Linked DNA regions of Arabidopsis thaliana. The protein of the gene in region 1 purifies or fractionates together with the protein of each later gene. This does not show direct contact. Each region holds a gene or a part of one and is shown on either strand. Other genes may lie near its edges. The genes, in order: AT1G54440, AT1G60080, AT5G38890 and AT2G07110.

The links.
Region 2: the proteins of AT1G54440 (region 1) and AT1G60080 fractionate together in Arabidopsis thaliana (co-fractionation; one large-scale study listed by BioGRID). This does not show direct contact.
Region 3: the proteins of AT1G54440 (region 1) and AT5G38890 fractionate together in Arabidopsis thaliana (co-fractionation; one large-scale study listed by BioGRID). This does not show direct contact.
Region 4: the proteins of AT1G54440 (region 1) and AT2G07110 fractionate together in Arabidopsis thaliana (co-fractionation; one large-scale study listed by BioGRID). This does not show direct contact.

Annotation. Positions count from the first base shown.
Region 1 is NC_003070.9:20,319,368-20,329,468, forward strand, and holds AT1G54440 (Polynucleotidyl transferase, ribonuclease H fold protein with HRDC domain-containing protein), read left to right. Parts: upstream 1-3,668; 5' UTR 3,669-3,916; coding exon 3,917-4,174; intron 4,175-4,309; coding exon 4,310-4,465; intron 4,466-4,721; coding exon 4,722-4,880; intron 4,881-4,963; coding exon 4,964-5,047; intron 5,048-5,365; coding exon 5,366-5,445; intron 5,446-5,539; coding exon 5,540-5,590; intron 5,591-5,672; coding exon 5,673-5,781; intron 5,782-6,230; coding exon 6,231-6,313; intron 6,314-6,519; coding exon 6,520-6,565; intron 6,566-6,657; coding exon 6,658-6,745; intron 6,746-6,831; coding exon 6,832-7,001; intron 7,002-7,430; coding exon 7,431-7,589; coding exon of another isoform or gene 7,590-7,613; exon of another isoform or gene 7,614-7,992; coding exon 7,993-8,151; intron 8,152-8,246; coding exon 8,247-8,564; 3' UTR 8,565-8,642; downstream 8,643-10,101. UniProt on the Arabidopsis thaliana protein: Acts as an important epigenetic regulator through multiple silencing mechanisms. Involved in transcriptional gene silencing (TGS). Plays a role for DNA methylation in the RNA-directed DNA methylation (RdDM) pathway.
Region 2 is NC_003070.9:22,149,713-22,157,234, forward strand, and holds AT1G60080 (3'-5'-exoribonuclease family protein), read right to left. Parts: upstream 4,932-7,522; 5' UTR 4,734-4,931; intron 4,641-4,733; 5' UTR 4,628-4,640; coding exon 4,468-4,627; intron 4,384-4,467; coding exon 4,334-4,383; intron 4,254-4,333; coding exon 4,184-4,253; intron 4,105-4,183; coding exon 3,999-4,104; intron 3,904-3,998; coding exon 3,837-3,903; intron 3,698-3,836; coding exon 3,622-3,697; intron 3,355-3,621; coding exon 3,047-3,354; intron 2,965-3,046; coding exon 2,893-2,964; 3' UTR 2,518-2,892; downstream 1-2,517. Other genes in the region: BGLU4 (beta glucosidase 4), read left to right, coding at 5,870-5,998, 6,074-6,137, 6,222-6,271, 6,352-6,427, 6,505-6,576, 6,661-6,748, 6,828-7,080, 7,150-7,265 and 1 more.
Region 3 is NC_003076.8:15,566,742-15,573,774, forward strand, and holds AT5G38890 (Nucleic acid-binding, OB-fold-like protein), read left to right. Parts: upstream 1-2,676; 5' UTR 2,677-2,765; coding exon 2,766-2,918; intron 2,919-3,054; coding exon 3,055-3,129; intron 3,130-3,226; coding exon 3,227-3,315; intron 3,316-3,399; coding exon 3,400-3,484; intron 3,485-3,714; coding exon 3,715-3,796; intron 3,797-4,065; coding exon 4,066-4,157; 3' UTR 4,158-4,428; downstream 4,429-7,033. Other genes in the region: AUG5 (HAUS augmin-like complex subunit), read right to left, coding at 1-106, 422-961, 1,546-2,063; AT5G38895 (RING/U-box superfamily protein), read left to right, coding at 4,534-4,563, 4,714-4,895, 5,213-5,462, 5,543-5,945, 6,204-6,313, 6,542-6,574; AT5G38900 (Thioredoxin superfamily protein), read right to left, coding at 7,004-7,033.
Region 4 is NC_003071.7:2,950,491-2,956,637, reverse strand, and holds AT2G07110 (exosome complex exonuclease RRP46-like protein), read left to right. Parts: upstream 1-3,429; coding exon 3,430-3,661; intron 3,662-3,724; coding exon 3,725-3,825; intron 3,826-3,908; coding exon 3,909-4,028; downstream 4,029-6,147. Other genes in the region: AT2G07120 (F-box associated ubiquitination effector family protein), read left to right, coding at 1,916-1,990, 2,047-3,033.

The DNA.
Region 1 (10,101 bases):
GATTTACTTTTTCATCAAGTAACAGGAGGACTATGCCCATGAATTGGCCATCTTTCTTGATGTTGCGAGCATCCCAAAAACGAAGTAGGCGACCAACAACCTGTTGAGTAGAGCGACCAAGACGTAAAGCATCAAAAGCTACATAGTTTGCTTTAGAAGGAATTGCAACAACATCAACTTCAGCCATTTTCAGAGTGTGTAATATTTTCTGGTGGAAAGTGATAATTGTGTTTGGGGGTGATGGGAGATGATGATTTTATAGTAGTTTAAAGGAAGATGTATAGGAGGTTTTTGCTTTTCTCCAGTTACAGTTTCGATTTGAGATATTAAAAGTATGAATTAAATTGCAAGTAGTGGAATTTTGTAGGAATTAAGCCATGTATTTAAGTACCTTTTAGTGAATAACTGTTGATGTTTGAGCTTCTGGGGAAGAAAAATACGGAAAGCTCCAGCTCGTCTTTAAGTTCTTCAGCTCGTCTTCAAGCTCCACATCACTCAACGACCATCTCCTCGCCTAGCTGTCAGCTAGTCAGCTCGTCCAATTCCTCACCTACTCGTCAGCTCGTCCCTCAAGTGCACAACTCATCTATCTCCTCGCCTAGCTGCCAGTTTGTCCATTGACTACACAGAAGGAGTATACTGGTTTATTTGGTTCTTTTGACTAAATCTTGGCCCGATACACCTCACTAAGTCTATTTGGTTCTTTGGCTCATGGGCTTTTTGACCAAATCGTGCCCCATACTCCAGCTCGTCTTTAAGTTCTTCAGCTCGTCTTCAAGCTCCACATCACTCAACGACCATCTCCTCGCCTAGCTGTCAGCTAGTCAGCTCGTCCAATTCCTCACCTACTCGTCAGCTCGTCCCTCAAGTGCACAACTCATCTATCTCCTCGCCTAGCTGCCAGTTCGTCCATTGACTACACAGAAGGAGTATACTGGTTTATTTGGTTCTTTTGACTAAATCTTGGCCCGATACACCTCACTAAGTCTATTTGGTTCTTTGGCTCATGGGCTTTTTGACCAAATCGTGCCCCATAAACATCACTAAATCGTGCCCCATAAACATCACTAAATCTATCTCACGCATAGAAAAAAATGTGAAGACAGAGTAAAAACATGTGGGCTCCACATTAAAAAGATGTAGTGACGTGGACACTTTTAGAGGAGAGAAAACTCTGCTATTATATATATGATTATTATTTGAACTGCAATATATTTTATCTGTAGTTGAATTATATATCTTCATTCGTCTTAGTATATATGTATATATATATATATATTAAATTGTACTATTTTTATTAATATTTATTAGAAAGAGAGGATTTTACACAACATCAACAACATTATAAACATAAACCCAAGAAATTTAACCAGTTACACAAATCAGATATGAGAAATAGCAAAAAAAAAATTGAAAGCTACGATTATATAATTTTTAAATTTATAACAACTTTCATGCATCAATATTTTTCAAAGATTTGAAAAATTGATATCACTATAGAATCTTCAAAATGTAGTCTTCAAATCTTTTGTCCTCCGTTGATGATAGTTAGACTTCAAAACTAATAATATATATTTCATGAATTGGTTTGACGGAGCTTCGAAAGAGACAAAGATAAACCGTCTAAAGGATCCATGATCAATTTGTCGAGTGAAAACAACATGGATTTAGTATAAAAGAAGTAAAATCAGACCAAATTTAGATTTATTTGGTCAAAAATTTCTGGTGGAGGAGACTAACAAAAACTGCCCAACAACAACACTATAGCCAAACTTTAAGGAATCAACAGATCGAACCGAAAAAGGTCAAGAAAAACATTGACGAGGATAATTTTTTTTGAAATACATAATCCAAAGCAAACATGCATACCATATTAGATAATACTATTATTCACTTTTTAAACTAACTGGTCACACAGATTGAAGATATTTTACCGTAATAAAATGGAAAGTAAAAATGTTATTATAAAATAGAAATCATTTCGCCGATATTTTTATCCTTTGACAATCCTTGCTAAAATTTATCTACTTTTCGTCTCTAAACTTGTTTCACCAATTGAAAAAACGATTATCCCGATTTGTGGCTCTTGCCTCTCGTCTACCGGCTTATATTTGCAATCTGCAACATATCGTCGTCTCCCTATTCCATACGTATCAAGCGAGATATGTTCAGTCTCTGACTTGGCCTTCTAATATTTTGAAAATTTTGGAATGCTTTCTTCAAGTGTATGAACCATATTGTATACTTCGAACTCGACTCTGATACTGACCTTATGGGTCCCCATCTTGCAACTCTTTCCGTTGTGAAGAGCATACTGCTGCAACCCTCCTCCTTTACAAAGAGAACAATTTGCTCCTTACCCTCCTTCATGAAGAAAACTGTTACAATGTGGTCTCCGGTCTGGAACCGTCCATTCTTCCAGTTGTTACTATCTTTTGGAGAAGAAGTAATACGTCTCATGCCGGTGAGAATTGAGGTCTTGGATTCCTTTTCAAAGTCAAATTGTCAATCGACTATGATTATTTACGACTTGCTTGTGGATGTAGTATCGACTTACGATTTTCTCGCTTTTGTCTATGTGCCTTATCGCTCATGTCTCCGAAAGTTGGATTTATCGTCAAGGTATCTATTCAGTTTATATTATGCTCTAATCAGTGTATTAAATTTTGTTGTCTTAAGTCTTGGTTGTGATGAACCCTTATTCTCTCTAATTCCTCTTATCGTATGAATGGAAAAATCAGTCTTTGCACAAAGAAAGGATATGTAATAGTGAAAATTTTCTTTTCTAATATGTAAACTGAATAAATCAAAGAAATAAAAAATTCGGTCCATCTTCAGATCATAAATTCATATGTATAAACAAACAGGACAATTTAATTTAAGATGTTAGACAAACATGTTTAGGTGTCGAACATGACACTTTAGTTTTCTCTCTAATAAAAATTTCTACATATTTTTATTTAATTGTGTGTTTATTTTCATAAATACATGTCTTACTACTCACATCTACAACAATCACATGTCATTAATATAGTATATATATACAATAAGAGTGACAATTTATAATAGCTTTCAACATTATGAACTTAACTGATTGTGCTTTTTATTGCTAGAATTTTATTATAGATATGTCAATTATATTTAGAATCGAAATTTATTTTCTTTCATATCTCCACAGCTTGTGTCCTTTATGACCGTTAATCTTTACCGCTAATTTTTGATTTATTCATAATGGTAAGATTATTTTTTTGCTTTTTATTTGATAATAAAGCAGATGATATGGTATGATGACAATTTTTATATACCTTCTATTAAATGTATTTTTTTTAAAAAAATTGGTGTGATGATAATTTTTTTAAAAAGGTTTTACTGTATTTAAATTTTCTAAAAAATACATGTAAACATGAAAATACATTAAGATAAAATGATAAACCGTTAATTTATTTTTCTGATAAGTATTCTAAAATCTACTTATATATCTAAACTTATAAAACTTAAAAACAAATAAATAGGATTTAAAAAATAAAAATAATCATCATGTACATATTTGGTATGGAATCCAAAACAAATACAAAATTTTGACAAATGTCACACAACATTGATTAGGTGCTTATCAAGAAGATTAGCTCCTTATCATGATTAAGCTTTAATACGAAGACTCATTTCTTGACTAAGACTTGACTTCAATGGCGATTCTAAAACCCTAAGCGAGAATCCAAAAATGAGTGAAGAAGATCACATTGCTTAGGTGAAGAAGTCTCCGAAGAATCTCTCAAAACTATCTTCGTCTTCTCTTACAATTCCGACGAACAGAGATTTCCATTCTCTCTCCAAGTCCGACGAGTTCAAGCGTCCGATCGATGAGTTAGCTTGGAGCTCGCAGTCTGTTCTTGAGACGATTGGTGGTAAGAAATCGATGAGATTTGATGATCCCATGGATGAGTTCAAGAGGAATCGAAAGATGGAGGAAGATTCGAAGAAGGTAATCGATGTGAAAGTGGCTGAGAGTGATAAGGGATTCGCGAAATTTGGCAAGGCAGAGGTTCCGTTTCATATACCGACGTTAACGAAGCCTCAAGAGGAGTATAAGATTTTGGTAGACAATGCTAATAATCCTTTTGAGCATGTTTTGTTGGAGAAGAGTGAAGACGGTCTTCGGTTCATTCATCCACTGGTTAGTTTCGTTGTCTCTGTGTTGATTCGTAGCTGTATAATGTAATATCTCGAGTGTGGAACTGTAATCTTTGATTTGTTTAGGTTACCTTTTTCTGTATGTGATTTTGTTTGCATCTCTGTTCTCGTATTGTAGGAGGAACTATCTGTGATGGACTTTGTTGATAGAAATCTAAGTGAGATGAGACCTGTTAAGCCTCTCCCATTGGAAGAGACTCCATTCAAGCTAGTTGAAGAAGTCAAAGATCTTGAGGACTTAGCTGCTGCATTGCAAAGTGTTGAAGAGTTTGCTGTAAATTTTCTTCCTCTGATTGTTTTTAGTCCGATGTGCAATGTATTGTTAAAATGTGGCACTTTTTGGTAGAGGCTCTTAGAAGTTTGCTTGTGTTATAATGAGAATGAGCTTTCCTTAAAGTATCTGTCTCCAGTATATTGAGTAGACAAAGAGAACTTAATTTATGAGTTAGGATGATGGTATCTCTTTCCTTATTTATTATATCTTGTTTATCGTTCTTGCTTGAGTTTGTTGTCTTTTATTCCTTTTGTAGGTCGATCTGGAGCATAATCAGTATAGAACTTTTCAAGGATTAACATGCTTGATGCAAATCTCTACTAGAACCGAGGATTATATTGTTGATATATTCAAGCTTTGGGATCACATTGGTCCTTATCTAAGGGAACTCTTCAAAGACCCTAAAAAGAAAAAGGTTTTCTCCATAATGCGCAATGTGTTTTCTACAGAATTCCTAGAATATAGTTAATACAATATGAAACCATTTAACTTAACTAGGTAATCCATGGAGCAGATCGAGATATTATTTGGCTTCAACGGGACTTTGGCATTTATGTCTGCAATCTTTTTGACACAGGACAGGTTTGATTTCTGGTTATTTTGTTTTGACATGGTCATATTACTTGGAGGTGTATGAGATCACCTTAACAGAACCCATTTTGGTAGTAATGTAGAAGAATGAAGACAATTTATTGGAAAAAATGAAACTCAATTTTTCTTCCTTTGTTTTTGTCTACGCTCCAGAGAGTAGAAATTTGAAAATATAACTCTTCTGTCCCTGTATTCCTTTAATGATGTTCGTGACATTCTTGTGGCTATTAAACGATAACTTTGGTCTGAAGGTTCTTAAGGTTTAAAGTGTTATTAAATCTTAAGCAGTACTTTTTTGTTTTCTGTCAGGCTTCAAGGGTGCTAAAGCTGGAGAGAAATAGTCTGGAATTTCTTCTGAAGCATTATTGTGGAGTTGCTGCAAACAAAGAGTGCATAACAATCCAATCTTAGTTAACTTTTGTTCTTTTTGCATTCTCATTATCTCACTCTTCGTTCAATTTCTGTTTTGCTAATTGGCTGCAGATACCAAAAAGCAGACTGGAGAATAAGACCCCTTCCAGATGTAATGAAAAGGTTAGTATATTCTCTGTCTAGTCTCTCTCATGATTGCTTTGCATTGGTTGAGTTGAGCTAACACATTTGCATATAATGGCAGATATGCTAGAGAAGATACACATTATCTTTTGTACATTTATGATGTAATGCGAATGGAGTTGCACACAATGGCAAAGGAAGATGAGCAATCTGACTCTCCTCTGGTAGAGGTAACAATCAAAGTCTCCCGAATTCTATTGGTATTTCTTTTTCTAGATTTTGATTAAAGGGAGACTGATAGAGTAAAGAAGATGCTATAATAAAAAAACACCCACTTAATTAGACGTGACTCTTGTTCCCTTCTCTTTCACCCAAATTTTAAAAGAAACCAAACATACCATTCTGCTCTTTCAATATTTAATAGAAATATTATGCCCAAAGTAAGATCTGTATAAAATAATTCATCCCCCTCGGTCCCTGCTTTAACTTTGGTTTCTTTGATTTTTCTAACTGATCCTTCCTGATGTCTCTGTGTCACGTATACGGTTGTTCGTTGGCACATGAAGATCAAGCATCAACTCATTTCTATTCATAATCTTCTCTTTTGAGTCGAGTGGGTCTATGCTTGGGATTTTTCAGTTTTCGATAACCATTTTGACGAAGTTATCAATGCTAACAGGTGTACAAGCGCAGTTATGACGTGTGCATGCAACTATATGAAAAAGAGCTTTGGACTAGGGATTCATATCTTCACGTTTATGGGTATGTTGCTTATTGTCCCCCTCATGAATCAAAATCTACGCTTTAGTTTTAATTGTTGCCTGGTGTACCTGTTCTTTGGCTATCCTGTCAATCGTTTTTGTGCTTTTATATGGAAGAGCAATACCCGATTAGGTTTAAAATCTTATGCATGGCTTATTAACTTAAAATAATCTCTAGTATGTGTTTCCATTTTGGCATTTTGTTAGGGTTCAGACAGGTAATCTCAATGCGGTTCAACTTTCCATTGTTGCGGTATGCTCTCAATTTGCGTAATGATACAAGGCACCCTTCATCTACCTTTCTTTTTACCATATGAAGCTTACATAATAGTTGCTGAGCTGCAGGGGCTTTGTGAATGGCGGGATCGGATTGCACGCGCAGATGATGAGAGCACCGGTTATGTATTGCCAAATAAAACTCTTTTTGACATAGGTAGATAATTTACCATTTCATCTCCAGGTTCTTGGATATTTGTCGGTGGTTCCTAATTTGGTCTAACTCGTTTTATTAAATAACAGCCAAGGAGATGCCAATTGTTGTTGCCCAGTTGCGCCGTTTGTTGAAGTCAAAGCTTCCTTACCTCGAGCGTAATTTTGACGCAGTGATCAGTGTCATCAGACGATCAATGCAAAATGCAGCGGCATTCGAGCCAGTTGTTCAATCTTTGAAAGATAGGCGTCCTGAAACAGTAAGATATCTATTATGTTATGAATTAATAGTATAACTCCTTTTGGTTTCTTTCTGTTTATATAAGGAGTACGAAAAAAATGTGCTTGCCTTCTAATTCTGGAGTGGTTTTGGCAATGATTGCTGTTATCGAGTAGATATGTTTTGAAAAATATGTATTCTTAAACCGTAGGTTTTAGTTGTGGTGTAGCAGTGATCATATATATATGATGCTTGCTTGATTGAAACAAGGTGCATTAGGAACTAAATCGTGCACCCTTCAATAGCATGTGAACTTGCAAAGAAATTATAACTAGAGGAGAGTTATTTGCAAGTGCTGATTGCTAGATGTTTCTTAATAGCCATGAGTCGTGAAAGCTTTATTATTGCATGCACTTGGTAATTATTTATAGTAAAAAATTTCTCTTTGCTCTGTCTTTTCTTGATTTAGGTGGTTGAAATGAATATAGAACCTAAGATTGAGAAAACAGACACAGGAGCTTCAGCGTCTTCTCTGAGTCTGGAGAAGGTTTGTGTGGATGATTCAAAGAAACAAAGCAGTGGTTTTGGAGTTTTGCCGTTAAAGAGGAAGTTGGAAAGTGACAAAACGGTGAGGTTGTTATATACTATATAGTGTGAGAAGAGAACTTTACATATGTGTTTTAAAACTGTAGGTTTTTAGTTAAAGGGTATGTGCTTACCTGCTTGGTGAAAAGCAATTAGTAGTGATTATATATGATACTTGCTTGAGTGAATAGATTAGGTCATATAGAACCAAGTTTATTAGGAACTAAATCTTGCACCCTTCAATAGCATGTGGGCCAAAATACTATAACTAGAGGAGACTTATTTGCAAGTGCTAATTGCTAATCCAAATGTCTAGTAGTTTCGTGGTGCGAAACCATGAGATGTTACTTAAGAGCCATGAGTCATGACTGCTTTATTATTGCATGCACTTGGTAATTATTTATAGTGAAAATTTTCTCTTTGCTCTATGACATTTCTTGAATTAGGTGGTTGAAAAGAATATCGAACCTAAGATTGAGAAAACAGGCACAGAAGCTTCAGCTTCTTCTCTGAGTTCGAAGAAGGTTTGTGTGGATGATTCAAAGAAACAAAGCAGTGGTTTTGGAGTTTTGCTGTCAAAGAGGAAGTTTGAAAGTGATAACAAGGTGAGGTTGTTATATAGTGTGAGAATTGTACTTCACATAGAAATTTGTAAACACCGGTATCAATTGATTACATTACTAATCTGCTGAGAAAGAAGTTGCAGGTAAAAGAAGAGGTCAAAGTGTCCAAGTCCAAGCCAGATAAGGTAATCATAGTGGTGGATGATGATGATGATGATGATGATGATGAGTCTTATGAACAGAGCACGAAAGCCGCTGATGCTTTGGACAGAGTTTCGGAAACGCCTTCGAAGGGATCACCATCGTTGACTCAAAAGCCGAAGACATGTAATACAGAGGTTATTGTGTTAGACGATGATGATGACTCGGAAAGCAGAGAAGATGAAGACATGCGTAGGAGAAGTGAGAAACATAGGAGATTCATGAATATGAAACGTGGCTTTCTTAACATTTAGAGCCCTTTCATTAGCTTTTGTGGTACATTATGCAATGTTTTGGTCGGTATCTTCAGACAATAGACAATCTATCTTGACTTGTATGTGTATACAACAGGTAGTCATATGTTTTATATATGTTAATTGAATTTTTGATTAACCAGAAACAAAACATTGCTCTTAGTGAAAGCAAATCCAGACTTGTCTGGACCAGACATATTTTTTAGTGGGTACGGGCAACTATTTAAAGAAAACACTACATGCTATGTAAATATAACACAGCTTACAACTATTTTTTTGGAGAGTTATGGAAATATTTTTTTTATAATTGTTTATACTTTGTAATTTTTAGTCGCTCTTGAGTTCATAAACAAAACTAAAATTACTTGTTTAAAATTGAGCAAAATATTATGTTTTAAAAAACTTTTGTTTTTATTGTTTACAAACCATGCTAAAGAACTACTATATTATAAAGGGTAATATTAGTAACTAGCCAAATGCTGAAAATTAAGTAACTAACCTTTTCTCACAATGACCAAACTATTCCTACGCTAAGATGATTATTACTTCTCAACAACACTACATCATCGTCCATTAATCTCATTTCCAAGTTCCAACCATGGTTCGGTGGATCACCGATGACAAAAAAATACCTCAGTTAATTGGCTAACAGATGTCTTACGGATAAGTTCACGTACTCATCATCGTCAATGACTAGGAGGGAGAGAGAGACAAAGATCGGAGCTCACATATTCATCGTCAGTGACTAAGATTTCATGTGACTTTGTTAAATAGCATGAAGTATTGATAAATATGTAGAATTATTTCAAGAATTCAAACGACTCTATTGAACAACATGGTTTATATGCAGAATTTAGAAGATTTCATGTTACTTTGATAAATAACGTGAAATATTGATAAAATATGTAGATTTCTTTCAATAATTCATGTGATTCTGTTGAATAACATGGTATATATTGCTAAATATATGTAATATATAGATCTATTAGTTTTAATAGCATGTTTTATTTTTAAAATACATGTGTTTTGAGGTTTAGATTTATTCCCTTCGGATGTAATATTGGTGAGTGAAAGAGGGATCTAGCATGAGATCCAGCGAGTAAATAAATAACAAGGGGTGAGAGTTTCAACGAAAGGAAGAGATTCATGATAGAGATGTTTGTCTCACTTTATTAAAGAACATTGAAATATAGAATTCCTAAACCAAGACCAAATGTTTAAATTTACGAAATCTCATAAAATCTAAAGCTAAGAAAATACAGAGTATTTCTATTATATTTACCTTTCTTATAAGCGGTAATGATGTTAATGTTATAGGGATTAGGCTTCACGATTGGGTTTTAATTTTATTAAATAGATCAAATTTAAATTAATTATAGAAGACATTGTTTTCGCGTTTATTACAACACCACTAAAAACGTTTATCCACTTTTATTAGGGCGAACGACCTGTGTCCCCCTCGGAAGTTTCATATAGCATTAGAACTACACAAAATTTCAACCTCGATCTTGGTCTACACAAATAAAAAGTTCTAGTC
Region 2 (7,522 bases), 1.8 Mb from region 1:
TGGATAAAGGTAGATGTCGAAATCTCTCTGTTGTGAAGTCAAACATGAGTATGAATTAACATTAATGGATCTTTTTGATTCATAATACTCATGTTTGGTTTCACAGTAGATAGATATCGACGTCTATCTTTCGTTAATTATGTTGATGACGTTGTGGAGCTATCTATCGTTAGAGTGGATAAACTTGTCTTGTTACATTAGAGAGTTGATCATATGCATGGATTCATTTCAGATGGCTGTTTGGGTAACTAATATTTAAGATTTTGGTCAATTTAAGTTACCAATTTATATATTGGTTACCCATATGGCCATCTCAAATTTAATCCGTTAAAAATTTGCTCGTAGATTGCTTGGAAATCTAAATTTTATAATCTTTTACCCAAAAATAAGTATAACAAGTTTTCTGGTTACGTTAGAGTGTTGATTATATGGATTCATTTGAGATGAAGATATGGGTGATGATCAATGCTTACGATTTTGGTCAATTTATGTTAGCAATTTAATTCTTTTTCATCCATATTTTCATCTCGAATTTAATCTTTAAAAAAGCGTTTGTTAGATCACTTAGAAATCCAACTTTGATGCTTTTTAGTATTAACTAGTTCCGTGATGGTCATGTTGCTGATTTGCTATAATTTCATCGTTCTTCTTTTAGTCTACTTATCAGTAATTAAGTGCAAATCTATCATTATTTTTTTGTTTTTGTAAGATTCACTTTCATCAAGATCAGTATTGATGAGGGTGAGATCAGTTTTCTAGGTAAATATTGTTCGGATCAAAGTTCTCATGAATCAGTGAACCAAAGTTTTAGATTCTTCTGGTAAGAATTCTGACTTACCGCAAGAATCTAAAGTGTTGATATGTTTTGTCAAATACAACCAAATGTAAAATTCTTTTATTTGTTTTTTTAATACATTTTGAGTATGGTTTTTAAAACAATGGTCACTAGCTAGAGTGTCCATGATCAATTCGTCTTCGGTCGTTGGATTTGCTAAGATGTAGTTCTTGAACATGATGTATGCAAGTTAAAGAGAAAGAGATGTTCTTAATCTTCAGTTTTCTTCTCTTTGTACGATGCTTCCTTTTCGGTGATCGATGCATTGACTTGTTCCTTTTGTCCAGAGATGACAACTACTATAATGGTTTGAAAAACTTAGGGTTGAAAAATTAGGGTTAAAAAAAAAAACTAGTGGATCGACGCCAATGGATAGAGTAGAGGAAGAGGCGGAAGATAGGGAAGTAAGTATACAATCTAAAGAAGATGAGAGTTTTTGTAAGTTTCTCGAGATGATTCCTCTTGATCTAATTCCTGATATACTCTTGAGACTTCCTGCTAAATCTGCTGCGAGGTTCCACTGGGTCTCTTAGCTATGGTCATCAATCACCACTCATCCAGATTTCATCAGGTCGTTCGCGAGTCAGTCTTCAACTAGGTTGTGTCTTTTGGTCTGCGTGAAAACAAGTGACAAGCGTATTTTCTGCGCAATGCCCCAACATGAAAATCCGGACAGATCATGTTATCCACATGTGGAGCGTTATCTGAAAGACACTCTCATATTTGATTATCACGAATGGTCCCAGTCGGTCCATGGCTTGATATGTTTGGGAGATTCTTGGGGCATATTGTAGTTTGGAATCCAATCATGAGACAACATGTTACCTTACCAAAAGTCGCATTTGAATGTAGCTCTTTAGGATATGATCCGGTCGAGGGTAAGTATAAAGTCTTGTGCATCTCATGCTCTAGATACCAAGATCCTCTTGTTTTTACTTTGGGACCTCAAGAATCATGGAGAGTGACACAAAATACCCCTAAACATGTCCCTCTATCCGCCGAGGGACTAATACAAAGTATATGTATCAACGGGGAAGTGTATTATGAAGCGAGTATACCTTTTGGAGTCGATGATAGTTCTGAAGTTGAGAAAGTCCTTATGAGCTTCGATGTGAGGTACGAAAAGTTCAACACAATAAGAAAATCAGCGGCTGATAATTTACTTTGCAAATTTTTCCTCAACTACGAAGGAAAATTTGCATGGGTTTGCTCTGACGACGTCTCTGGTAAATGATTTTGGGTTTTGGAGGATGAAGAGAAACAAGAACGGTCACTTAGAAAATTTCCTCAACGTGACCCGATCTGGAAAGTTTCTTGGGGGCTGAGAGGTATTACTCATGATCCACTGGTGAGTTTATTTATACAGCTGCAACAACATCTGAAGCAATTTATGTCTTATATTATGATCCAAAAAGAACCCTAGTAAGGAGGGTCAAATATGATTATATGAAGGAATTGGTGACGAAGAATTCTGGAAGCTTAATCATAAAAATGTAAGAGAGGTCCGCTATTATCATAATCACACTGAGAGTCTCATGTCTTTGGAGGAAGTTCCTCGCTTAGCATATGATTCTTCCACAGATTCAGAATGATTTTATGTTATTTAGTATTTAATTAGTCTCTCGAGGACTTTCCTCGTCTAGTATGGAATATTTCTTTCACAGATTCAGAATGGTTCTTGTTACAATGCCTCTTTTAAATGGAATAATATTTTAACATACCCTTACATTATAACATAAAAAAATTCAGAAAAGCCTAATCAAAAACAAACTTGCGATGGTGGTCAACAAACAAACTTGTTAATTGCTTTTGATTTGAACATTTGTAAAATTAATCAGCTTACGCACATTTCGGTTCGTTTGAAATGGAGATAATATAATCTCACACTTACACTAGCACTAAATTAAAGTCGTTATATGACAAACAAAACCGTAACACAATCGAACAAAAATGGTGAAGAGCTTCTTCCTTTGCCTCTAAATGGGTAACTTGGTGATCTGATTAAAATATGTAACACAAAATTTCAACAATGTTATGGAATCGTTCCATCTGATAAATTAGTCGATATCCATCTCTCCCAATATCTGCTTAAGCTCCTTTGCTCTCTTCCTTGCTAACTCGACACAGCTCTGCGCATAGCAACTTTATAAGAAACAAAAAACGGTGTAAATCAAGTGGTGGATTAACCTAAGAGAAAGCTAAAACTCTCACCTTGATGGCTGATGAATAGGCGAGAGCAGCTCCTCCTGATTTGTAGAAAGAAACCATTTGATCCGAGGAATCCAAAACAACAGTCACAAGAGTGTCCATGATCGATTCTTCTTCGGTTGTTGGATCTGCTAAGATGTAGTTCTTGTGAAGTATGCAAGTTAAAGAGAAAGGAATGTTCTTAAGCGTAAGTTTTCTCTTCTCCTTGTTCACTGCTTCTTTCTCGGTGATCAAAGCATTGTCTTGATCTTTTTCTCCAGTGACGGCAACTATTCTTCCATTGTCATTCAGAGCAACAATTGGAATTTGCACTGCAATATAAAAGATATTTTATGCATCAGAGGAAAAATTCTTCTGTCTCGGAACACCAATCACACAACTTCTGAACAAACCGCTATTGTGCAGGGAAGAATATTACTCAGGTATGACTCACTCAGCAAGATTTAAGTGTTCTCTAAGGCTTGCTCTTTTTACTCATATTCGAAATGGATTTGATAAACTTGAGAATCAGCTTTATTCAAAGGTTCTCTAAAGGAGCTGTGAAACCAACTAAAGGATGAGAACAGAGAAGAACTTACGATTGGAGAAGGCTGCGACAGCAGCAAGCAGAGCAGCATCAAAGAGAGCACCATCAGCATCCAGGCAATATATGTCCTATGAGAAATTTCAGAGAGCAACAATGTTCATATATATGCTAGAGAACTCAGTTAAATATCAAAGAGAAAGATCCCTAGAAGAATAGATGTGAATCAACTGACGGACAAGCACCGATATAAGACCAACGAGTACTCACCAGATAACCCATCCAAGCAGCTTTTCCACTAACTAGACACAGTTCTTTAAGATCAATCATACCAGAACTAGAACAAAAAAGAAACACTTTTAGAAGGAACATTGTATTTGATGCTCAATGAGACAGAGAAAATATAAAGAGAAAGATCAAACCAAAACACACCTTAAAATAGTATCAGACAAACGCTTTGAAATAACGGGAGCAGCTTCGGCTGGTCTTCCAGGACGAACAGTCGGAGAACAAATTGGAGGCATATGGAACTCAATAGCTACCAAAAAGGAATCACAAAATGAATCACCAAAGAAGAACAACAAACCACATAGAGAACAAGACAACGAGATAACAACCTATGCATCCTTCGTCTGGAGAGTCCGTAGAAGGAGTCATAACTTCCATTCTAATAGCAGCAAGCATAGTCTATAAACACGAAACAACTATGTAAGCAAAACATTGCTGATCATGTGAATACTATCGAAACGACTAAGGCGGGTTCTTACAGTGGAACCAATCTTAGCAAGAGCAGACCCATCAGCAGTTGAAACAAGTCCTACAACAAACACAAGAAACCACTATAAAGTTGACATTTTTAATTTGATAAAAACTAAAAAGAATCAATCTTCATTGTTTATACCAAGATTAACAATGGTGTCTCTAGCTTTTCCAAGTTGTCTTCCATCAGGACGAAGAGATTCAGAGAGATGACGCTCAAAGAAACGAAGAGGGAAGATTCTTCTAAAAGCATCAACTTCCATCTCTGTCGACAAGTCTTGAGCTGCATCTGGTATTCCCATGTTTTCTTTAGCTCTGCTTCATGTCACAAAGATAAAGAGAATCATAAACCAAAAGTCTCTGAGTCTGTGCTTCATCAACACAGTCTCAAGGAATCACAAAGCTTACCTTGGGACAAAAGAAAGAACTGCCTTTGGTACACGAAACTGTTGTAGTGAAGAGGAAACACAAGCAATAGAGTGTAAGAAGAAGATTGAGAGCTCGCGGTGTCGTAAGTAATGGGGATTTCGACGGAGACGGTGACGGTGACGACGGCTAGGTTTATCTGAGTTTTTAACTAAAGTACTTCTTCATTCTAAATGGGCCCCAAACAAAGCCCAATAATGTTGCGAAGCCCAAAGAAATGCGAAATAAGAGATTTGTTTGCTTCACAAGACATGAGTATATTGAAATTTGGGTTTTCAATTAGATGAATTTGGCGAAAATATGAGGCGCACTTGATTATGAGCTGAATTTGGGAAAATGTTTAGTGTAAATTGTAAAATATGAAGAAGAAGAAATGGCGTCAAAATGAACATTATACATTCTTGTTTTATATCCAATTTTGTTAATCCTCCATACATTACTTAATGGTGTTTAATTATAAGTTAAGAAATTTCTCTTTTACTATATATATCGTTATAAGTATTCGTAGAAAATTTCAATTCAAAACATCGTTATAAGTATTCGTATATTGAAATTTGCAACAATCAACAGAAAAACTTATCGTTATTCCGTTTTTTTCACATCTATTTTAAAATTTTAAGATAATGTATGTTTAATATTTTATGCTTTGTAATAATTATTAAGTTTTATGAAATAAAATATTTTTTTCTTTATAAGAGGACCAAATATTTTTACTTTAATACCTCAAAAGTTATTATATCATAGTCCATACTATTAACAAAAATTTAGGAATACCCAAAAAAAATTGAAATGTAACAAAAAGTCCAAAAATATTTTTTTGGCCCAAAAGCCCTCATATATGTGGGGCTGGGGCTGCATAGCCGCATGGTTTTCCGGTCCCCTAGTTTCTTTCGTTATTTGGGTTGGTCAGACCTGGGCTCCGATCCAGCGTAATCTGTTTCTTATCATAGTAAATAAAGACCATAATTCATTTCAACACACTTCCCAATATGTTTCTTATCTAAATTGCATCATCATTAATGTCTACGTCACAACTATATCTAGCGGGTACGCAAATGGCTACTGGACTTACTTATTCTAACATGGAACGAAGAAAAGAGTGTGTGTGTGTGTGAGAAATGGAACAGATTTTGGCTCTGTTTGCCATTTTTCTTGCTTTTGCTTTCTCCGGGAAATGCAGCGACGTTTTCAGCAGATCTGACTACCCTGAGGGATTCGTCTTTGGAGCCGGCACTTCTGCTTATCAGGTTTGGAACCAATTTATGAGCTTCTTTTTTCTTAACTTTTGAACAAAACTGAACCAAATGTTTGGTCTCTACTAGTGGGAAGGAGCTGCTGCAGAAGACGGAAGGAAACCTAGCCTGTGGGACACTCTTTGTCACTCTCGTAAGCTTTTCATTTTAACACAAACTATTATTAGTATTAGAGTTTGTCACTCTTGTGCTTTGATTCTTGTTTCTAACATTGCAGGTGACCAAGGTAACGGAGATATAGCATGTGATGGGTATCACAAGTACAAGGTTCTTTAGCTTCTCTGTTTCTCTGACTACATCATGAGGTTTTATTCATCAAGCCTGAGTTTCATTATGAATTTATACAGGATGATGTGAAGTTGATGGTGGACACTAACTTAGATGCTTTCAGATTCTCCATCTCTTGGTCTAGGCTAATACCTAGTAAGTTTTCTTAAACATGTTATAGCTCAGTGAAGGGATCAAATTTATGATCAGTTCGTAATTTATTATCTGATTAGATGGAAGAGGGCCTGTTAACCAAAAGGGTCTACAGTTCTACAAGAACCTCATCCAAGAGTTAGTAAGCCACGGTAAGACCTATCTTCATATCCACGGTAGGACTCAAGAGTTAGGTTTAGTTCGTATTAACTAGAGTTTAAGTAGACTTACTACAGGAATTGAACCACATGTTACACTCTACCACTATGATCATCCTCAGTCTCTGGAGGATGAATATGGAGGATGGCTCAACCACAGAATGATGTAGGCGTTACTTATTTTCTCTTACAGATTTTGTAGTTTAAGATAAAATAACAAAAGTTGATGTTATTTGCCATTGCAGCAAAGACTTTACTACTTATGCAGATGTTTGCTTCAGAGAGTTTGGGAACCATGTCAAACTATGGACCACGATCAACGAGGCTAATATATTCTCTATAGGAGGTTACAACGATGGGGATACACCGCCTGGTCGTTGTTCCAAACCGAGCAAAAACTGTTCTTCAGGGAACTCTTCCATTGAACCATATATTGTAGGCCATAATTTGTTGCTTGCGCACGCCTCTGTTTCAAGACGATACAAACAAAAATACAAGGTATATATTACATAACCCTCTCTTGAATGTGTGAGAAGAAACACACTATAAAGTATATATAATATGCAGGATAAGCAGGGAGGTTCCATAGGATTTAGCTTATTCATATTAGGGCTTATTCCTACTACAAGCTCCAAGGATGATGCCACTGCAACCCAAAGAGCCCAAGATTTCTACGTCGGCTGGTGAGTCAGGCACAAACTGTTCCAAAATATTGTTCAACATATCTCAATAAAAAAGATTTACTCTTTAAAACTCAGGTTCCTTAGACCTCTTTTATTTGGAGACTATCCTGATACAATGAAAAGAACCATTGGATCAAGACTGCCAGTTTTCTCTGAGAAAGAATCAGAACAAGTTAAAGGCTCATGTGACTTTGTAGGAGTCATACACTATCATGCGGCTTCTGTCACTAACATCAAATCCAAACCTTCTCTGTCCG
Region 3 (7,033 bases), on another chromosome or scaffold:
ATGAGTATCTGTGCCTATCTTCCCGTTTCCATTAAACTGATAACTCAAAGGGGAGCTCACATCAGAAGAAGAATTGTCTGTTACACGGTTGTTCTCAAACTTATACCTGCAAATAGATTGACATCCAATTGCTTATGTTAGTCCAAAGCAACCCTGGAACAAGAACTTAAGAAAGCAGAGACGAAAACTGAAAACTTATAAGAGACAGAGATACAATTATCATTGATCAGACATATCTTAAAGGGAGTCCAGGAACTTCAGCATAAGTACTAATTTGCTATATGAGTTTCATAATCTTCCACTTGTGTGTCAAGAAAATTAGCAAAAATAGCATGCAAGGTGCATTTGGGTGAACCATACCCTGCAGAATCAGGAGTGCACAATAACAAAGAGTGGCATAAGAAGGAAAGTCAGGACACACCTTAACATTTCAGCATCTGCTCTGACATCAATCTTCTCCATCTCTCTGGATATCAGAGTCTTAATGCGTAAAGTGTATGCAGCAATAGCCTGAAGCAGCAGAGGAGGACCCCTCAGGGAATTTACTATAACAGTTTTCATCTCATCAGTTATTTCTCCATCATACTCAAAACCCAGCTTGGCAGTTTCCAGCTCTGGAAGTGAACAAATTCCATTTCCTTCGTATGCAGGGAAGGAGTTACGTATTCTTTCAATCATGCGTGATGCAAGCAAATCACATACTATCCTGATATTTCGTTCTCGGGTTGTTTCCATGAGAATGACATCATCTGCAGACTTAGTTCCTTTGACAGTGGAATAAACAGCTTCCCTCTCACTGTTAGCACTGAGGCTGCTTAACACTTCATTCGATGAATTGACAGACCGTTGTGCATCATTTGCTTGATTAACATAGACTTGTAGCCTTTTGTGATACTCTGCAAATATTCTTGTTGCTTCATCACATTGTTGATCATACGCTTCCAACAATGCTTGCTTGTGTCTGAAAAAAGGAAAAATAAAACTCACTAAACAATTTGAAAGATCTACTGAACATAACTACAACAAATATTTTGATTTGTTGTATGAACAGAATCAATGCATTTCAACATAGATAAATGCTGTTGATTGAGGTTCATGAAGAGGGCAAAAAGACAATCAATATCGCCATACAAAAGTGAGAATCTTAAGAATGGGCGATGTGGCATATCCATGAAACCAGAGAAACAAAATAGCCTGACTAAATCCCATATATTCCATTCTAGGGTATATTAAAATCATTGGAGAATCAACAAAACGAAAGAAGAATACTTCAGGGCTATATATCTATGGCTCCTGAAATCATAGAGAAACGAAATCGAAATACCACCAAAACTCTAAGCAGCTAACCATACTACACATAGCAACCATACTTGTAATGGTTCTGTTGAGGACTTAACACTAACGATAATAAAGCATAACAACAACAAGAGAAAATATTAAATGAACCTGAGCTGAGTGGTGCAGGTTATTTCTATTGTATTATTTTACAAGTGAGAAGCAATGTATCCAAATACAGTATTCAAAATTGAAAGATTCAAAACAAACCTGTAATTTGCTCTTTCATCAAGCATCCTCTTCCGCTCTGCTTCTTCTCTAGAGACCTCCAACATTCTAGCTTTCAAATCTTTTCTTTGCCTCCTCACTATGTTCCTCAATCTCTCCACTTCCTTTGCAGCTAATTCCCTTTCCTGCAATGCAGCTTCTCTATCCTCCGCATAACTCGAACTCTCACCAGTCACTGTCTTATCCTTCCGCCTTCCTTTACTCTTACTCTCCTCCTTCCCAGGATTTACCGAACTCCCAATGCTAGCATTACTACTTCCCCCATGAACCGTAATATTCCGCCTAATTCTCTCCACTGTCTTCTCCGATTTCACTCGGTTTATCAAAAAATTCCATATAGGTATCATATTCCCTCTACAAATCTTCCTTATAGCATCAATAGAAGGAACATGAGATTTGCTCGATCCATTATACGGACCTAATTGCCTGTACCCCATTTCCTTCTGTAACCATTCTAATATCGCCTCCGGTGTCGGAGCCGAGCTCGATAAACTCTGCATTCTCTCTACAACTACAATACCTAACTCAATCCCTCAAATCTTCATGAAACTTCCGAAATTTCTACTCATACTTTGCGCCTTTTCTTCAAATCCAAACAATCAACGTAGAGAAATACCTAGGTTACTCAAATCGAGCGAAAACAGGAGTTCATAGACGCTATAAACCTAATACAATTCGCGAAATGCAGCAACAATCGAGCGAATTGGTACTCTGATGAACACAGAGACAGAAGGAAGACGTAGACAAACAGATCTGGAATCCCGACGACTAACTCGCCGGTTCCGGTGACGGTAGATGGAAGATTGTGACGGAGAGATGGATCTGGATAAAGAGATTTCAAATCGAGGTCCCGCTTGTTTATTGGATTTTCAATTAAAGGAATCAAACTCGAATTTTTCTGCAAGTGTCGTCGACTGTTGAAAGTTGAAACTGGGTAATAACCGCGTCGGACTCGGGTATGAGATGTATCCGGGTCGGACTAAGGTATTTAAGTCTAACCGGGTCGAATTGGGTAATAAGAAAACACTATGGGTCAAAATTAGAATAGTTTAAAATTACAACCAGAACATTTAGGGTCAAAGTTGAATTTATATAACACTAAAGGGATGGATTCCGAATTGTTTTAATTTTCTCAATCTAAAACCCAGAGGTTCCTTCCTAGGGTTTTGTTTGATACTCTCAAATCGGAAAATTTTGAAACAATGACGACGGGGCTAGTAACGCCGGGAGATGTAATCGGGAAAGCGACAGAGTTTAAAGCTGGAAAAGGAGCTTACGTCAACGACGCCACCATCTACGCTTCCCTCACAGGAACTTGCCGGATTGTTTCTCCTCTTCCCGAATCAATTGATCAGGTTTCGTCTTTGTTCCAAGTGATTAATTCTTCTGGCACATCTATTCGTAATCGAAATCGAAATCGTTGGATTGTTATACTTGTTTTTGTGATTGTTATGGATATATAACTTATTGGATGATAAAAATGGTAAGCAGAGAGCTATTGTGGAAGTTACAGGTCACAAGGCACATGGTCCTATTCCAGAGACTGGTTCTGTTGTCATAGCAAGAGTGAGTCCTGCACTTATTTCATTGGATTCATTGATGTTCATACTTGGAAAAAAAGAGAGTAATTTCATCACTCACTATTCTCTGTTATTCGTGATAGGTGACTAAAGTTATGACTAAGATGGCTGCTGTTGATATCTTGTGTGTTGGTTCAAAAGCCGTTCGTGAAAATTTTGCTGGTGTAATTAGGTGAATTTCTCATCCTCCTTTGGTGTTTATTTTCAAGGTTTGTTCTTTTATGTGTCGATCTAACTTGTGTTTGCTCTTTCATAGGCAACAAGATGTTAGAGCAACAGAGATTGACAAAGTTGACATGCATCAGTCTTTCCATGCTGGTGACATTGTTAGAGCTATGGTTGTATCCTTGCGCTTATGTTTCACACTTATTGTCTAGTAGTACAGTGGTTAACATTGTTTATTAGAGGAGAGACAATTCTAAGATTTGTTACATTATGCCATTTATTTTCTCTTTTTACTTACATATCTCTTTGTATAGTTTAATTTGAATGTAGCGTAGGTGTAGTCTATAATAATAGATGATGTTTTGGGTGATAATATCTGAAGTTGCCTTAACTTGGACTCTTAAAGCTGTCTCTTGGTGATGCACGGGCTTACTACTTGTCAACTGCTAAGAATGAACTTGGTGTGGTCTCAGCTGAAAGTGCTGCGGGTAATTTTTTTCCTACTCTTAGAAACTAAATAAAGGGTAATGAGGGCAAAGATTACTAATTATATAGCTAATCTATCACATATCAAATTGTAATACATTTCTAACTTGTAGTTCTCATTATGGAATTATGAGTAACAAATATTTTCGTCCTGGACTTGGAGTATGTTAATGTGTAGATGCATTTGCTTCTTTGGGCAGTTTATAATACTATACGAAGTTAATTTCCGTTTGAGTAATCGAAATGTTTATGTGGTCTGGTGATTGTGCAGGCGAAACAATGGTTCCGATAAGTTGGACAGAGATGCAGTGCCCCTTGTCGGGCCAAACCGAGCAGAGAAAAGTTGCCAAGGTGGGTAATTGAATTCAAGACAACACTTGGCTTCTCTCACATAATGAGGTGTGGTCTCTGCAGCAAGACAGACATTTGAGATTATTACAATTTTGAGCTCTTCTGTTGTTTGTTATCAAGTGTAGAGATAACTTTAGACCAACTTGACCTTTATTCGACAATAGTCAGGATACTATTATTATTAGGATACTTACAACTTCTTAAACTCGAAAGACATTTTGTTGTTAGAATTTGAACATAAATCCATAACTCCAACAATGTGGAAATGCTAGGCTTAGCTCGGAACAACTTAAAAATTCATTCGATTGTCGCAATTTCTTGGTGAGTTGGTAGTATAAAAACTTAGCAGAAAATCAAGAAACAAACTTCCTAAGAGATGTAAATCTGTATGCCCTTGGTGCTGCCGAGAAAAGAAATGGTTTTTGTATACAAAAATGTATGGGTCACAATTAGAATAAGTTTAAGCTTTATAATCGAAACGTTTGGGGTCATAACTAAATATATGTAAAATTAAAGGGACTATTTACGAAACTTTCTGTTTTTCCCTGGTTAAATTTCGACCAAAAAGGCTTATGGATCAAAAGGTAGAAGAAGACAAAGACGAGAGAGAAAGGATCGCTATTATTCAGGAAACTTCATTTTGCACTTTTTCGACGAACCTGAAAAATCTTCAATTTTAGAATTAGTCAATACCGGAAAATTCCTGGGTTTTCTCTTGCTTCTGGATTTTCTCAGGTCTCTATCACAAAGGTACTCATCGATTCCTCTGTTTTTTGTTTTCCTTTGAAAGTTTCTTTGATGATCATTGGATTTTGATACCATTCATTACTGATCATCTGATGTTGATCGATGAGCTTATGATGGTTTTTGGGTTTCATCGGATTGATGCTTTTTATCTGAAAGGTTGATGCTTTTGCTCGTACATTAAACAATGAATCCTTAAAAAAACTGTTTTTTTTTGCTCGAATTGTATAGTTTTGTGATGTGTATTAGCTTATTCAAGTTTAGTTATTCATTTGGTTTTAGAAATGTTATATGTTTCTCTTACAGGTGATTCTACTGTGTAGGAGGAACAAGAGTTTTGCACCAAGAAGAGAGAGGAAGGATTCTGGTTTACGGGAGCTAGTGAAAATCTTCTGTGAAATTGGCTTTCCTCTCTCATTCTCTGTGAAATTTGAAAGTATTGATTTCGAAGATATGGGTGCTTTCTGTTGTTGCTTTCAAGTTGATCTCTTTGAGAGTTATGTGAATCCAAACACTTCCATAACTAGGAACTGTCCTTGCCTTAATTGCTTCCTCCAGAGTTTCATGGATTTGGTAATGTTCTTCTTCACTTTCGTCTTCGAATCTTTTGTTTCTTTGTAGTTAAAACTTTATGTTCGATTTTTTTTGGGCAGTATGCTTCGTTGTTTAGTAGAGGGGGAATGCATCCAATACCTTCAACTGTAGAGACAGCTACAGTGATGAATTCAACAACTGCACTTGATGACTCTCTGTCTAGTGTATATCATTCTCCTCCAACACCATTGCCTTACGATGCTGATCCTAGGTACTTTCGTTTTGTTAAGGGCTCTAGTCATTCAGGTGAAGAATCAGAACCGTTAAGAGGTGATACTGAAATGAGTTCTGAAGCTTTGGGTGATGGTGGAGCCAAGTGGAGTAAGTCTGATTCTGAAGATGGTTCGAAAGAAGTGTATACGAAAGGTTCATCAACCTTTACAAAGTCGAAAACAATGCCGGGGATAGAAGTTTATTATGCAGATTCGGATGATGAAGATATTTGTCCAACCTGCCTTGATGGTAATACTAAAAAATTAGTTTGATGCTATTGTTATTATTCTCTTTGAACCTATTATATGCAGTTTTGTTGGTAAAGAGTGTGTTAGGTTGTTAGTAGATCTTTATAAGTTGCTTTCTTGGTTTCATTTCTTCATTTAGTGCACTCCTGAGTCCTGAGCCATTAGGCCATTAATAGTATAGTTTACGTAGATGAGGCAATCGTTGCGAGTGCATTAAGGTAATATTGGTTTCATAGTTCTTTGTTTTAACAATATGCAGATTACACTTTGGAGAATCCGAAGATAATCACCAAGTGTTCTCACCATTTCCACCTTAGCTGTATTTATGAATGGATGGAGAGAAGTGAAACTTGCCCCGTCTGTGGAAAGGTAACTCGTCGCTTTCTACAAAACTTTAAAACCCGGATTTGGTCGAATGTTCCATCAATCTCCTTCATCGATATTAAAAGTGCATCATTTTGTATTAGAATTTGATATCCCCATTTTAAGTAGTGGTCCATTTCTCATACAATTATTGGTCATATAGAGAACCATGAGATGAGTTAACTTTTTGGAGTTAATGCATCCATACCTAATTGTTTCACTCTAATCTTTCAGGTGATGGCATTTGATGAAAATGAAACTTCTTAGCATTGTAATAAAGACTTGCTCAAAGAACATAATGGCGTCTGAGTCCTGCTCAAAAGAATAAACAGAGAGAAATCACTTGTACATAAAACTCCTGTGAATATCCAGATGCCTTTTAACAGTAAATATGTGATGTCTCTTAATTTATAGACTCATATATCTTATATACATTTATAAAGCAAGACAATGATTGGAAGGAAAAGTAGTTTGAATCATTCAAAAAATTGTTATCTAGAACATTGTTTTGAGATCAGAGCAAGAAGAAGAAGAGTGCTTGAAATCAACTTCTCTGAATTATTAGACAAACCAATAAAGAAAAATCTTATTACACCAACTTCTTTGAAAAGTCAATAACTTAAAGCTCAAACAACAGAAACAGAGAATCTCCATAGATGTAAAACTTCAACAACTCTTGAGTACACTGATTGTGTTTCAAGCCGAGGCCGCTTTAAACGCACTCTG
Region 4 (6,147 bases), on another chromosome or scaffold:
TAAGACCTTGGTCCAAGAAACTGCTCCTTCGGTGGTGTCATCAATCTTATTTGTCACCCATATCTCAGCCTTGGATCTCTTATCTCGTCTCTCCTCTAACAACGGAAAGACGATTAGCACCATTCGAACTACGGGCGTGAGAGGGAAAAGGAAGAGACACAGGTGCAAATTTCTCTGTTGAAAAATCGTAACTGTGCAAGGATAGGTGTGAAAGCCCATTTCTGTTACAGCTCTAGCAAGCATGTAAGTATTTCGCTTCAAAGACACGCACTTACAAGATTCATCCAAGTACCATTTTGGAAGGATACCATTAAGAACCCTCCATGAATCAGAGTTCAAAATCGTATTCCCAAACTTTGCTACCACTACGATAAAACCCCATGATTTTGTAGCTCTTTTTGCAGGATATGTTCTTGTCTTCTTCGTGGGTTTGGATCCACTTGGTTTCACCAGTTAACGGGTTCCAAACAACCATTCTACGTTCGAGTTGGGAAGTGCATAACAATAGGCCGTCACAGTGAAAGACTCTATCTATATCGAATTCATCAGCAGAGTTCTTAAAATACGGATCTGGTAGGGTAAGCTCACCTTTCACCTCTGCAGATGGATCAGCTAGGTCCATGGAGATTGACGCCTATCAGACAAATCCTGAAGTTCTTCCTCAACATGAAAACCAGAAACTCCTTTGCGGCGTTATCGTAGTGCTTTCTTGCGAATCTCTTGTCGTTGTGGATCAAACGGTTCCATGGTTTGCAAGTAGCTCAAACGTTTCAGATATGTGGCTGGAAAAAAGCTGAGAATCTCCTCTACCAACTCATTTGGAAGATTCGGCATCGTCATCGTTAGTCGCCGAAGAAAACGGCAGCAGGTGGCTCTCAATGTTATGTTATCATTTGATCTATTAGGATAACGTGGCTCTTAATATTATTTTAGGGTTTTGGTTTTCAGCTTTCCTCTTTTGGTAATTTTTAAAAAATTAAACCGATGCGCAATATTTATGTTTCCAAGGGAATTTAAAGGCGATTTTTTTATATTGATTAATTAAAAAACCATTTATTTGTTTTAAAAAAGTTTAAATTAAGTTTATTTTCAGACATTTAACTTGTATATGTAGAGAAATTTGTTTAAATTAAACCAATATTCAATACTTATGCTGCTCTAGATTTGATGTGATTGATTAGTCTCAGTGTTGGTATTTTGTGAAAAAGTTTAGAACTAGTTTTCAAGTTGATCAATGAAGCTGTAGAGATCACATAGGCAAAACCATAGTCATATAAAAATTAGGTTATATGTTCTGTGTCAAACCTACCGACCAACTACCTTTAGCTGAATTACAAATTTACAAATTAAGTTTTGCATCGAAATCAATTCTTGTAATCTCGTATAATGGTAATCAATCTAGTTTCTTGCTAGATTCTGCTGATTAAAACCAATAGATCTTCTCTATTTTTGTCGTAAACAGGTTACAAGGTTAACAATTAAAAACAGAATATATAAACAGAATATTTCTCCAAATATTGTCTTCTTGTTCTTAACTCTTAAGAAATGAATTTTTTTTCTTATTTCTTACAAAAATATGCAGTTCTTATTGAAAGATATATTTCTTTCTTTTTTATAAACAATTTAAAGAATAATTGTTTTTTTATTTATTCCTCAAATCTATGTTTTTAACTTCTTATCCTTGAGAAATAATTATTCAGTAATTTTATTATTGGAAGATAAATCTCTTTCCTAAATAATTATTAAGAATTATTTGACATTTACTTTTAAGAATTATTTAATATTATCCCCAAAAAAGGGTGTTATTTCATTTTCGTAACAGATAAAAATATTCCTTTTCTTATTTATTTGAGTCGTACACGCGGTGGTATATATATAGATTCTCCTCTAAAGCCACCGAAGTCGGAGAAAGGTAATGGCGTCGGGGAAGCTTCCGTGGGAGTTGGAGGAAGAGATACTGTGTCGGCTTCCACCTGGATCCCTTGTTCGGGTAAGATCCGTATGTAAACACTGAACGATCTTCTCAACGACAAATGGTTCATCAAGAAAAGCTTGGGTTGTGCACGTCCCCAATTTATCATCCTGCCCGAATCCAAGATTTATTCGATAGGAACCATCGGCCTGGACGACTTTGATCCGAAGATAGAGGTGCGTGAGCTAGCCTGTCAATTTCATTTTAAGGCTGAGAAGTGGGCATTTACCAGGATCACGGCTTGCGATGGATTATTGTTTCGTGACTTTTGGAACCAAGGGGTTACCATTTGGAATCCATGGTTAAGACAGGTTGGGTGGATCGAGTATAAGGAGGACAGAGATTTCCGTTTTTGCGGTGTAGGATACGATGCTTGTAAACCCGAAAAGGATTACAAGATCTTTGGGTATTTTAGTCGTTTCTATGACACTACACTGAAAATCGGCCACAGATTTGCGATCTTTGAATGTGCGTCTCAAGCGTTTAAGTTCATTGATTCCCCGGAATGGCCAATGCTGGCAGGTCGAGGTGAATATGTGTCCTTGAATGGAAATTTGTATTGGACTGCTTACAATGAAGATACTCGTGAGCATTTTCTCGGAAGCTTTGATTTCTCCACAGAAATATCCATGCACTTTTGTCTCCTTCCTTGTGGGAAGCATGTTTCTGGCTTACGAGATAAACTTGTCCTCACTGTATTTAAGGGCGATCAGTTTGCATTGTTAAAGCAATCTCGTATATCAAGTAATACAGAGATTTGGGTAACAAATGACATGATTAACTCTAGTAATAATGTGGTGTGGTTAAACTTGATGACACTGTCAATACCTGATTTTCCCTCGCTATTCCATCAGCTTTCTGATATTAGTTACTTCATCCATGACATGACCCTTATCCTGTGCTGTGACGACAATCAAACTGGAGTGGGTTGCATCTTTATTGCGAGGGGAGACTTCTGCAAGAAGATTCAAATAGATTCTGTCTCTCTTGGGTTTTCTCAATGTGTCCATCTTCCAAGTTTGACCTCGGTTCCTTTGGAATTCAGATCACTGCAAGTTTAGAATTTCGATTTTTCGAGTACAAACAGTCTTTGAAATGTGATTCTTTTTTCATGTCTTTTATATTATACTAGATAAATACCCACGTGTAGCGTGGGTTTGTTTTGAAAATTGTGAAGCGTGAGTTTGTTTTGAAAATTGTGAAAAACAATTATTGATTGTTTTTGCTAATTTATGTTTATTTTTTATTCGTTATTATGTAGTTAATTAATAAAACTAAAACTATCTTATGTAGTTACAATTTTTAAGATTATATCTTTTTTTTTTACTTGAAATATAACTCGTGAAAGACTTACTTGTCAGCTGAAACCTCTTGCTTATTCGCGTAATATCCTTCATCGTCCTCATGGCTCTCCTAGTTGGTCAGAAGGTACTTTATCAGCTTTCTCAATATCTATTATGGGTACAAAGTTGTTTTTATCCTTTTTGAATGGGATACATGGAACTCTCTCGTTTATATTTTCAGAGGATACAAAAGTTCTATCTGCGCAATACGGACCTAAAGCAAGAACGAAGAAGAACGAAAATGCTGAGAAGGCTTGTTTGAAGTCATATGGAAGCCTTAAACCGGATAGATTGGTAATCGTAAATGCGTTTAGTTTTTCAGAAAGAGGCTTGTTTTGTCGCTTGAGTATGTAGTACAGGTGATTCTTGGTTTTTAGATGTGAATTTCTTTTGCTTTGAATATTGATAGGAAAAGTTGAAAAAGAGTATGAAACGATACTGAAAAGGACGCTACAGAGTATTTGTGTTTTGAGAGTTGTTCCAAATACCACCACCTCAGTGATTATTCAGGTGAGTAACTATTCAATGTTGTGTATATATATATTGTCAACTTGAGTTGTATCTGATGTTTTCATTTTGTAATTTCTGTGTAGGTTGTACATGATGGTGGTTCTGTATCGTTTTTATGTTCCTTTCACCTTGGTAAACATTTACTAATGCTGTCTGAAACACATATAATCCGGTATAAACAATGTCTGTTTGAGTATTTATAGAGTTTATAGTAGTGAAAGTTTGTAATCCCATAAACTGAGAGTGTGAATATGTTTTTGTGTAACTTCTACCGTGGCCTCCATTCTGGCAGTTAGAAGGTATTAAACGTTTGTTCTAAAGAAATATGATGTACAAAAAGGGAGACTATGAAGGATAGAATTTACGAAGTCGAGAAATTTACCTTGAGATTCTTCTTCTTTCATATTGAACGATCTAGCAGAATAAAAAAAAAAATACAAAACAGTCATACAAAACAGTCTTTCAAATTACTTGTTTTCTTAGCATAAATCTCGAATAGCTTAGATATATTTAATTTGCATATTTATTTAGTTTTTTCATAATAATCATCTAATTTTTAGGCAAGGAATATGTGTATCATGTTTGGATTTTATTTTTTTCTTCAAGATTAGTTTAAAAATTAAATTAGTTTTAAATATTAACTGTTAATTAAAATAGTTAAACTAATGATTTTAGAAATGAGAATTATTTAAAATTTTTAAATGAAAAACTCAAACTTTAAGAAATCATTTCTTAATAATTTCACTATTACTTTTTCATAATTAATTTAAGAGTTAAATTTTACGGCACAAATTTGGCGGAAATCAAGCTAACAACTATCGTTATTCCGATTTTCAATATTTATATCATGTATGTTTAAAATTTAAAAATTTAGATTAATTATTAAATTTTATGAAAGAAAATATGTGTAATTTTTAATTTAATAATAGTTTTTTTGTTTTTTAAGAAACCCGCTTAAAGACCTACCATTGGACGAACAAAAAGTTAAAAGACCAACACAATTCCTTAAACTATAAAATTTTAAATCTTAGTTGGTAGCTCCACCGTCCGCCAACATCTTCCCTTTGAAGTAGATCCTCTATTTGTTAGCCAAAATCCCCTCTTTCGCTTCTCGAAGAGACTTCAATTTCCCGATTTTGGGTCATGTTACCTTTGACATCGATTGTCACAGTTTGACTTCCCACAGTTTTCACAAAAAACATGCATGTCTACAAACATAAAAACACACAATTATCAAACATACATTATTTTTCTTATCTCCATTATCAAACACACTGAAGCTAAGAAAACAAACAAATAAAGAATTCAATTACTTAAGGTTTTTGAATCAGTAAATAAGACATATATACATATATATATATATATATATTTATATGTATATATATCATACTTAATTTACTTATTTTCTTAGCTTAAGCAAAATAATTTATGTAACTTTTGAAGAACTAGTGAGAAATATTGTGAGTTAGAGAAAATGAGAGATGTGCGTTTATTTAGAAGGAATCTAAGTGTTACATTTTTCATTTGAAACTTCATATAAAGAAACTAAAAACAATAATGAAAGAAAGAACACCAAAAATAGTTCTTATGAGAATCAAAGCTCATTATCACTCTCATTTTCCCCCTTACCTTGAAAAACATCGGATGGTGCATGCGGTCTTTCTTCTTGAAAGAAATCATTACATTTTCATTTCAATCTAAAGTTTCCAAATACAAGATATAAATACAATCTTTTTATTTTATTTGAATTTCTCGTATAAGTTGTGATCATCTCATGCGTTCCTTTTTAAGAGAGTATAGATAAACGTGTGCCATATAAAGGATAGTAGTTGAACAAAACAAAAGAAAGAATCGTAAAATTAAGTACTTTAAGAAACTTATGTTGTGTCTTGATGAATCTCTCACATTCATTTTTGGTTTTATGATGAGTCTCTCACCCACACAACTTGTCATATGCATATGTGCTTAATTTAGCAAAACTAATCACACTCTTGTTCAAGTATCAACTTTATATCTTCTTGTTTGATACAAATCATCCTCTTATTTAATAACAAACAACTCATCCTAATGGAAAAATGGATAAAAAAAAACCTCACATTATCTACAATCATGAAAAAATTCTCAACTTTTTTTTGTGGATTTTTAAACCCTCAGTTTTTTAAAAGTGGTAAAATAACCCCTAATATTAATGAATCAAATAAATAAATAAATAAAAACTTAGTTTGTAATTTATTTTTGCAAATTCTAGTTTCCTATTTTTCTTTCTAATTTTTTTTCTTACTCTATTAAAAGAAATCAGTGTCGTTCCCACTAGAAACTGGT